Linked DNA regions of Oryza sativa Japonica Group. The main gene of each other region encodes a partner of the protein of the gene in region 2 in a complex. Links are inferred from orthologs where the notes say so. Each region holds a gene or a part of one and is shown on either strand. Other genes may lie near its edges.

The links.
Region 1: mediator of RNA polymerase II transcription subunit 15a (region 2) and mediator of RNA polymerase II transcription subunit 4 share a complex: the UniProt entries of both Arabidopsis thaliana proteins name them as parts of the mediator complex. The link is inferred for Oryza sativa Japonica Group from reciprocal best matches to the Arabidopsis thaliana genes NRB4 and AT5G02850.

The regions. Positions count from the first base shown.
Region 1 is NC_089043.1:25,716,177-25,719,622, forward strand, and holds mediator of RNA polymerase II transcription subunit 4, read right to left. Parts: upstream 2,248-3,446; 5' UTR 2,173-2,247; coding exon 928-2,172; 3' UTR 607-927; downstream 1-606. Other genes in the region: histone-binding protein MSI1 homolog, read left to right, coding at 2,425-3,048. UniProt on the Arabidopsis thaliana protein: Component of the Mediator complex, a coactivator involved in the regulated transcription of nearly all RNA polymerase II-dependent genes.
Region 2 is NC_089042.1:28,450,869-28,455,200, forward strand, and holds the start of mediator of RNA polymerase II transcription subunit 15a, read right to left. Parts: upstream 2,812-4,332; 5' UTR 2,681-2,811; coding exon 2,523-2,680; intron 1,731-2,522; coding exon 1,619-1,730; intron 753-1,618; coding exon 644-752; intron 1-643. UniProt on the Arabidopsis thaliana protein: Component of the Mediator complex, a coactivator involved in the regulated transcription of nearly all RNA polymerase II-dependent genes.

The DNA.
Region 1 (3,446 bases), on a different chromosome or scaffold from region 2:
TAATACCCAAAAGAGAACTGATCAATGTCTATTGAATATTTTATGATGGAAACCCTGCTAAGGCTACTGAAATTACGATGAGACCGCTTTGATAACCATGCAGCTCTTGAATTGGGAAAAAAAAGTACATAAAGATGCGATATGCACCAATAAAATTATAAAAGGAGTTACTTCTGATGATGCTTTGGCAGTTCTAACCCATTTGAGTCAATTACTACTTTATCATCTGCAAGATAAGCTCGTGAATGAAAACTAAGACCTATAGTACTAGTATCATGTTTGTAGTAGGAAGATCCCCCATGCTGTGCAATAAGATAGGAAAAATGGTGTGTTCATTTAAGTGCAAACTTACAAGTTGAAACCACTCCCTTCTCATAACTTATATAGCTTGAGTTATAGAACATTCTTGAGTTTTCAGCTACCACTCTTTGGTACAATGGTATAAAGGTTTTCAAACTATATTGCAGCAATAAGAGGTACAGACATAAGGTAAAACAATGAGAAAAATTAAGCAGAGTGCATGAACATGGAAGTCATTACTTGATTGAAAAGCCCATAACCAGCTAGCAAGCCTAGCAAGCAATTATGACTGAAACCTGTAATCTGTGAAGAAGGGCATCAAACATTAAACACACCATGTTCAAGTTTAAATATCCATAAAAGAAGCCATGTTTCTGACGATACAACACCAGCACATCCTGAGGAAATTAGACCATCATGCTTGATTACATATATCGAAGCAAATTGACTAGTGAGATGGTTTAATTAATCAACACATACATGATACGCCACCCAATTCTATTCAATACCAGTATATTGCTGCATGATCTTGAATAATCATGTATGAGAGCTTGCATTATTTGTTCTTACTAGTACATGACCTACAACGGCATGGAAACATGAATCATAAAATAGCTTACCAAGGAACTAATCCTCATCATCTTCTTCAGAGCTCCCGACGTCGCTACTGTACTCATCACTGCTAGAACTATTGTTAATGTCAAGATCAACATGCCGAACCTGTATCGGTTCTTGTGCCTTCGGCACCATTGCTGGCACCACAACCGGCATCTGTTGCACACTGGCCCGTGGCTCCTCACCCTTGACACCAGCCAGAATGCCATCCGGCGGTAGAGTGATCGGGTCCCCGGGTTTCCATCCAGGCGGCGGCAACGGGATTTCGAGAGGCAGCGCCCCGTTCCGCCACCCATGCGGATGCGGCACAGTGATTGGTAGCACAGCTGCCTCCTGGGTTGGTGAAGGCTGAAAAAGCGGAGTGGCATCTCCCTCTGCTGCAGTCCTCTCCTTTGCTTCCTGGGATTTCGGCACTCCAACATCCAAATCCGCAAATTGATACAGCTGCGACATCCTCATCTCATTTTCCTGAGGAGCAGGCGGCAACGCCCCACGCAGAGGCAGCCCAGCACCATGCTCAGGCGGCGCGAAGGTCGTGTAGCTTATGCGGTGGGCGTACGTCAGGACGTCGTCCAGGTTGAGCTTGGAGTGCAGCGACGCGCCAAAGTCGCCGTCTGACACCGGCTCGGGGTCGTCCGCCGCCGCGGCGCCGCGCGGGCGCTTGGGGTCGCGGCGGTAGTCGGCGTAGTCGTCGACGAGGCGGTCGAGCACGTGGTGCGCCTCGCGGAGCTTCTTGGCGAAGGCGAGGATCGAGGCGTCCTTGGCGCGCGCCTCGCGGGCGAGGCGCGCGCGCGCGTCCTGCAGGTCGAGGGTCTCCTGCAGCTCGGCGACGGCCTCGAAGAGCTGGGTCTGGAGCGTGTTGAGCAGCGACAGCGCCTCCTTGGTGGAGGAGATCGGGGCCGGGAGCGGCGGCGGCGGCGCGGAGGACGGCGAGGGGAGGAAAGTGGGGAGTGACCCCCGGTACGCCGAGATCCACGCGGCGCGGCTCGGCGAGAGCTCGAAGAGGTTGGAGGCGAGCGCGGAGATCAGCTGGAGGAGCGCCTGCGCCCGCGGGAGCGGCGGCAGGAGCGGCAGCAGCGACGGCGATGTAGTTAGGGTTGGTGCAGCGGCAGCGGCAGCGCCCACGGCCGCCGCCGCGCTAGGGTTGCCCTGCGGCGGCGAGGAGGTGGGATTCCCCGCAGCCGGGTTGGGCGGGAGCGACGGCGACGAGGCCGTCAGCCCCAGCCGCGCCGGCGAGGGGTGGTGCGACTGCATCATCGCGGCGGCGGCGGCGGCGACTGCGGATGCAGGAGACGGACGCGAGGCAGAAGCTACTAGACAAAATTTCCTCTTAATGGGCTAATGGGCCTCCAAATTGTATTATATGGGCTTTACGGCCCATAAAAGCCCATTAACTCGGCCATAAAACACCATCTCTTCTGACTCCGCCGCATCGTCTCCCCAATCTTTTTGGCGGGAGAGCACCACAGCGCCGCCTCCACTTCCCGCGCAATTCGCAAGAGAAGAGCCATGGACGGCGGGTCCTCCACGGCGGCGAGGTCGTCGGCGGCGGAGATGGAGGAGCACCAGAACTGGAAGAAGAACGCGCCGGTGCTCTACGACCTCGTCATCTCCCAGCCGCTCGAGTGGCCGTCGCTCACCGTCCAGTGGCTCCCCTCCCACTCCCGGTCGCCGGGCTCCGCCCGCTCCCACCGCCTCGTCCTCGGCACCCACACCTCCGACGAGACGCCCAACCACCTCCTACTCGCCGACGCCGCCCTCCCGCTCCCGCCCCGCCTGGCGGCGGCGGCCGCGGCGGCGGGCGGTGCCGTCCCGGCCCCGTCCGTGTCCATCTCCCGCTCGGTGCCGCACAAGGGCGAGGTCAACCGCGCCCGCTGCATGCCGCAGAGGCCGTACACGGTGGCTACCAAGACCTGCGTGGATGAGGTGCACGTGTACCATCTTGGCGACGGCGGCGAGAAGGGCGGCGCCGATGTGGTGCTCAGGGGGCATGAAGCGGAGGGGTATGGGCTGGCGTGGAGTCCGATGAAGGAGGGGTTGCTGCTGAGCGGCTCGTATGATAAGAAGATTTGCCTTTGGGATCTCGCTGCTGGGAGTGGAGCTTCGTCTCTGGATGCACATCATGTGTTCGAGGTAATGCGCCGTCAAATGCCCCCCTCCCCTCATTCCATTTTGCAGTAAACATTTACAGTCGTTAAATGTTACATTATACGATGCAGTTGAGCAATGATTCGTAATTCATAATCCAATTCATTTAGTAAGGATGCTTCGATTGTTTCTTCCCCTTTTTTTTTTCAGTAAACAAATTTTGATCTGCCAGATCTCTTAGTAAACAATATTGAAATAATGAAATTGAACTGTTTCTGGTCTTTCCTAAATGTTGGAAGAGAATCATTATAACTGAAATAACTGCACAATTCCAGAGTAGATAATTGCACTGCGTAGGAGAAAGGACACAGCAATTGAATAACTAGTCGAGAAGAGAACATGGTTCCATTTCCATAGCTGCATTTTAAGCACAAACAATCATC
Region 2 (4,332 bases):
GGAGAGGAAATCCAGTGCGAGAGGTTATATCGATGAAGTGATTGTGTATTGCCAATGGGCTAGACTATGATACTAATCTTTGATTAAAAAGAGAGAGAATGAGTGCTAGAAAGCTATGTGTATCTTTGGTCTTTGGGCTGCTGGCAGCAGACGTGATGGTGTGAGCCTTGCTTTGCTTTTCTACTTTGGAAGCCATGGCTGATCTAGCCTCTACTAGAACAAGCAGATTGAAGGGGTCGTCTGTTTTGATGTTGGTGCCCAAAAGCTTTGAATATGACCATGCAAGGATTCGTGGCCAGCATCCAAATGGTGTGTTTGCTATCAAGATTAGCAATTACTTAATTAGGTTCGAGTAATCAACAAGTTTGGAGGTTTCGACTGACAGGCATCTCGCCTTAATTTACTTGCTTGAGCATTATCCGATACAAGCTAAAACGAGAGAGCACTGTTGTACCCAGTGTGGCAGAGCTTCCATTGGATGGTTTCCTCTCAGAAATGGGGCTTGTAAACACACATGCAATATAGTTACATCATGAAAAATATATACAAGGACTTTTACGGTGAACAAAATATGGTACCAGCGAATATCTTACTATTACTCCAGTATTTCAGAATCGGATATTGAATATACTTCATATGATACCTGAGCCAGGGGGATTTTGGTTTTGAATCACTTGGGCGTTTCCAGGATTCTGTTGAGTCTTTGTCTCCATAGAGAGCATTTTTAGAGAAATCTTCCGCAAGTAATCAGACTGGTGATACAAAAGAATACAATGGTAAGATTTGGCTTTGTAATAAATAACTTGCCACCCTAAGTCCTGGTGGTTAGCACAATTGAAACATATGCTTCGTTTTTTTATACAATCAATTAAATTATACAAATTCTTATCTATACAGCAAACTACTTTGGCATGAATAAGCCTGATGAAGTATGAACAGGAGAACACAATTGGAATTTGGAGATTATGAATCCCTATACCCAGCCAAAGAAGCTCCTACAAAAATGTTTACCAAAATGAAGTGGGATATATGATGACATACTCGCTAACACAAAAGGAAGGACTGGAGTAAACCATTGTTTGATGTTTCATCTGGGATAAAGGGAATATTTTACAGGTGATTTATACAAGCATGAACAGATGGAATGATGGGCTTACAGAACTCAAGGTACAACTCCTGTACTTTTAACATGGCCAATGAGAGAAACCAGTCTCATGGTAAAAATATTGTTTAGTTCTATAATTCATTAATACTAATTTACTATTGAGATATGTTATCAATGAAAATAATGTGGGGACATCAACACCTCTAGCATAGGACTGAATCAGTCTTAGTCCCTGTATCCAAGGCGCAAAGGAGATTTTCCCCCGATAATGGAAGGGGAAAAGCTTCAGCAGCCTTGGATAATCTGATTTAGGTGGAAGTGCGAAATATTACAATCGGTTCAAAAGAAAATGTGGATACTTCACGGCGAAACTCTAACAAACTTCAAAATCAACAGACATATTTGCAAACATTGGACGATCGATTTCTTCTACTAAGATCCCAAATGCCATGCTTGAGCCCCACAACTGAAAGATTGGATCAACCCGATGAGTTAGCAAGAGGCTAAGTGTACCTGGCTGGTGGCTGCAGTATAGATTTTCTCTTCAAATCGCACTGCTATCTTTTGAAGTTCATTCAACCCCTCAGGCACTGATACTGGTAGATGCTTCTTCAGAGTGTCCATTCTGTACGCAGATTGCAACAAGCAAGTAAATGACGAATATATCCCATGCAGAACGAGAGAGAGAGAGAGAGAGAGAGAGAGTGCTTTTGAGATGTTTTGTGCAAAAAAAAAAAGAGAAATGTCACCTAAGGCATAATGTGTCAGTCTACCATTCAAGATGTTGGACAAATGAGTAGGCATAGCCCAAGTTACGCGCTCAAATATAGTGGCTATGACCAAAAGTGGACAACAGCTACAAAGGACTCGCGGAGCGAGAGTGGCACATACATGATCTAACATAACGAAGTAAAATAAACGAGAGAGGTAGGCGGTTTCTCCAACAAACAGTTTGCCTTGCCATCATAGTTCCCTGACCCTCAAAGGGAAGATCCATTTGAACAGAAGGGGTGCATCTTCCAAGCAAACCTCTATACTGTAATAACTGTGTCTGATGAAATGTAAATTGAGTTCAATTGGATATGTAGACTAGGTGAACTAGACAAGAATGTCAAAGCTAATAAGAATCTGAAAATAGTTGGGGAGGGATTGGAGTTGGACCTAACTAACAAAGTAAATAATAATAAATAAATAACAGAAACACAGGGGCACGGAAGGGGAGATTATGATGAGATTACAACTAGCTACGTAGGAGTAGATCGGATCAGAGTTGCATCATATTGAATCGACCACAGGCACAAAAGGATGATGCGATGTATGGATCTTCTATTTTATTTTATATAGTTGATGAAGAGAAGAAAAATTGGGGGAAGGGAAGGGAAGGGAAGTGGGTGGGGGGAGAGGGGGAAAGCCCTACATCTTGTTGACGATCCTGTTGCGGGCCTCCGACTGGAGCTGGGAGCGCCAGTCGCCGCCGGCGAGGGCGGGGGCCGGGGCGTTGGGATCGATGCCCCCAGAGGCGGCGGGGTCGGCCCCCTGGGTGGGCCTCCAGTTGCCGCCGCCGCCGCCATCCATGGCTCCTCTTCTTCTTCTTCTTCTTCGATTGCAATTTGCGAGGGTTTGGTCTTCGTGGCGGCGGCGACCACAAGACGGAGCGAGCGAGCGAGCGAGCGAGGTAGGCTAGAATCGGAGTCTCGCCTCGCCTCGGAGGAGAAGAAACCTCGGGGTTGGACCGACCTAGTATTTATTTCGCATTTGCCCCCTTGTACTTACAGCATACTCCGATTGCGTTTCCTTTCCCCTTGCATACGGTAGCATGGCGTTAACCCTAACTTTTTTATACTAATAAAATATAATAATAAATTTATGAAATATTTCAACATTTGCAAATGCCAACTATATATAAAAACCCTTCTCTATTAGAACCCCTTCAGCATAATTATTTTGTAAATAAAGCTACACATAAATACATGTTACCGTTTTGGATAAAACCCTCTATGGGTAGTATATTGAAATAAATACCCTTTTAATAAAGAAACATAGCTATGGCTATTTTATACGAACCTTTGAAAAGGAATTTGCCTTCGGAAAATTAATTACAAAATAATATATATTAGTAAAGTATTTATTAAAAACCCTATTTGCAAAATATAATTCATAATAGGCTATTTTCAAAAGATATGACCTTCTCACACAACGTCTAATTTTCCCTCAGGTATAGCCTAGTTTGCATGTTAGGATTTATTGTTTATTTGTGTGTGTTTAGAATTTGTGCCATAGATTTTGATTAAACCCTATCTCTAGAAAGGACACCCTTTCCTATACCTTTCTTTTTCCATCCTTACCTTCTCTTACCTTCGCGGTCTAATTTGTTATGTGCTTCGATGCTAAATAAATCAATGACCCAAAACTTTTTTGTCCTATCGCGATATTGTTGCTCTCTCAAACTCTCGCCCAGCGATTATTTAAAATCACTCCATCAATTCAAACCCAACACTCTCCCTTGACTATCTACAATCGATCGGCGTATTTATTTATCATGCGTCAATTCAATTATCTCCGATTCTATTCCTACCGCGACGATTGGATTTGTATGCTACGCGTTGTCCCTAAAATCCTTTCTTCGCTACCGTCGTTCGTTTGTACGAACACTCTCAAAATAATCCTACAACAACCGATAAATTCATTTATCGTGCGTTAACCCTAAACTCCTATTTGGCAATACGGTGCATCCATCCAAACAAAGTCTCATGTTGCAATCCATTTATTCTGCCCTCGTGCATTCTCGGAATATCTATACATACCACAAATCCCATTTCCAAAGCACTGTCCAAGTCACACCGTCCCACCACAAATACAACGTCCAGTCATACAGTCCCAATTATAAATGTACAGTCCTATTACACGAGTTGACCTATAGCCAAATGACCAATTATACAATATACACCATACCGTCCCATCCACATTTACAGTCCAAGTATATTTCTAGTCCAAACACAGAGCCAAAATCAATATCCATATTATACGGTCCATTTATACAGAGCCGAGCCAAATTACAAATACTCTGCCAATTTACAAGTCCACAAGTAATCGTGCACATGCAATGCACGTTGTGATCAATATTTGAACTAAACCGAACATATTGCACCTAGAGATTTTTTTTATAGATATATACTAAAATGTTTAGGTGCTATAACTTTTGCCCATAACATAGTGCTTAATATTGC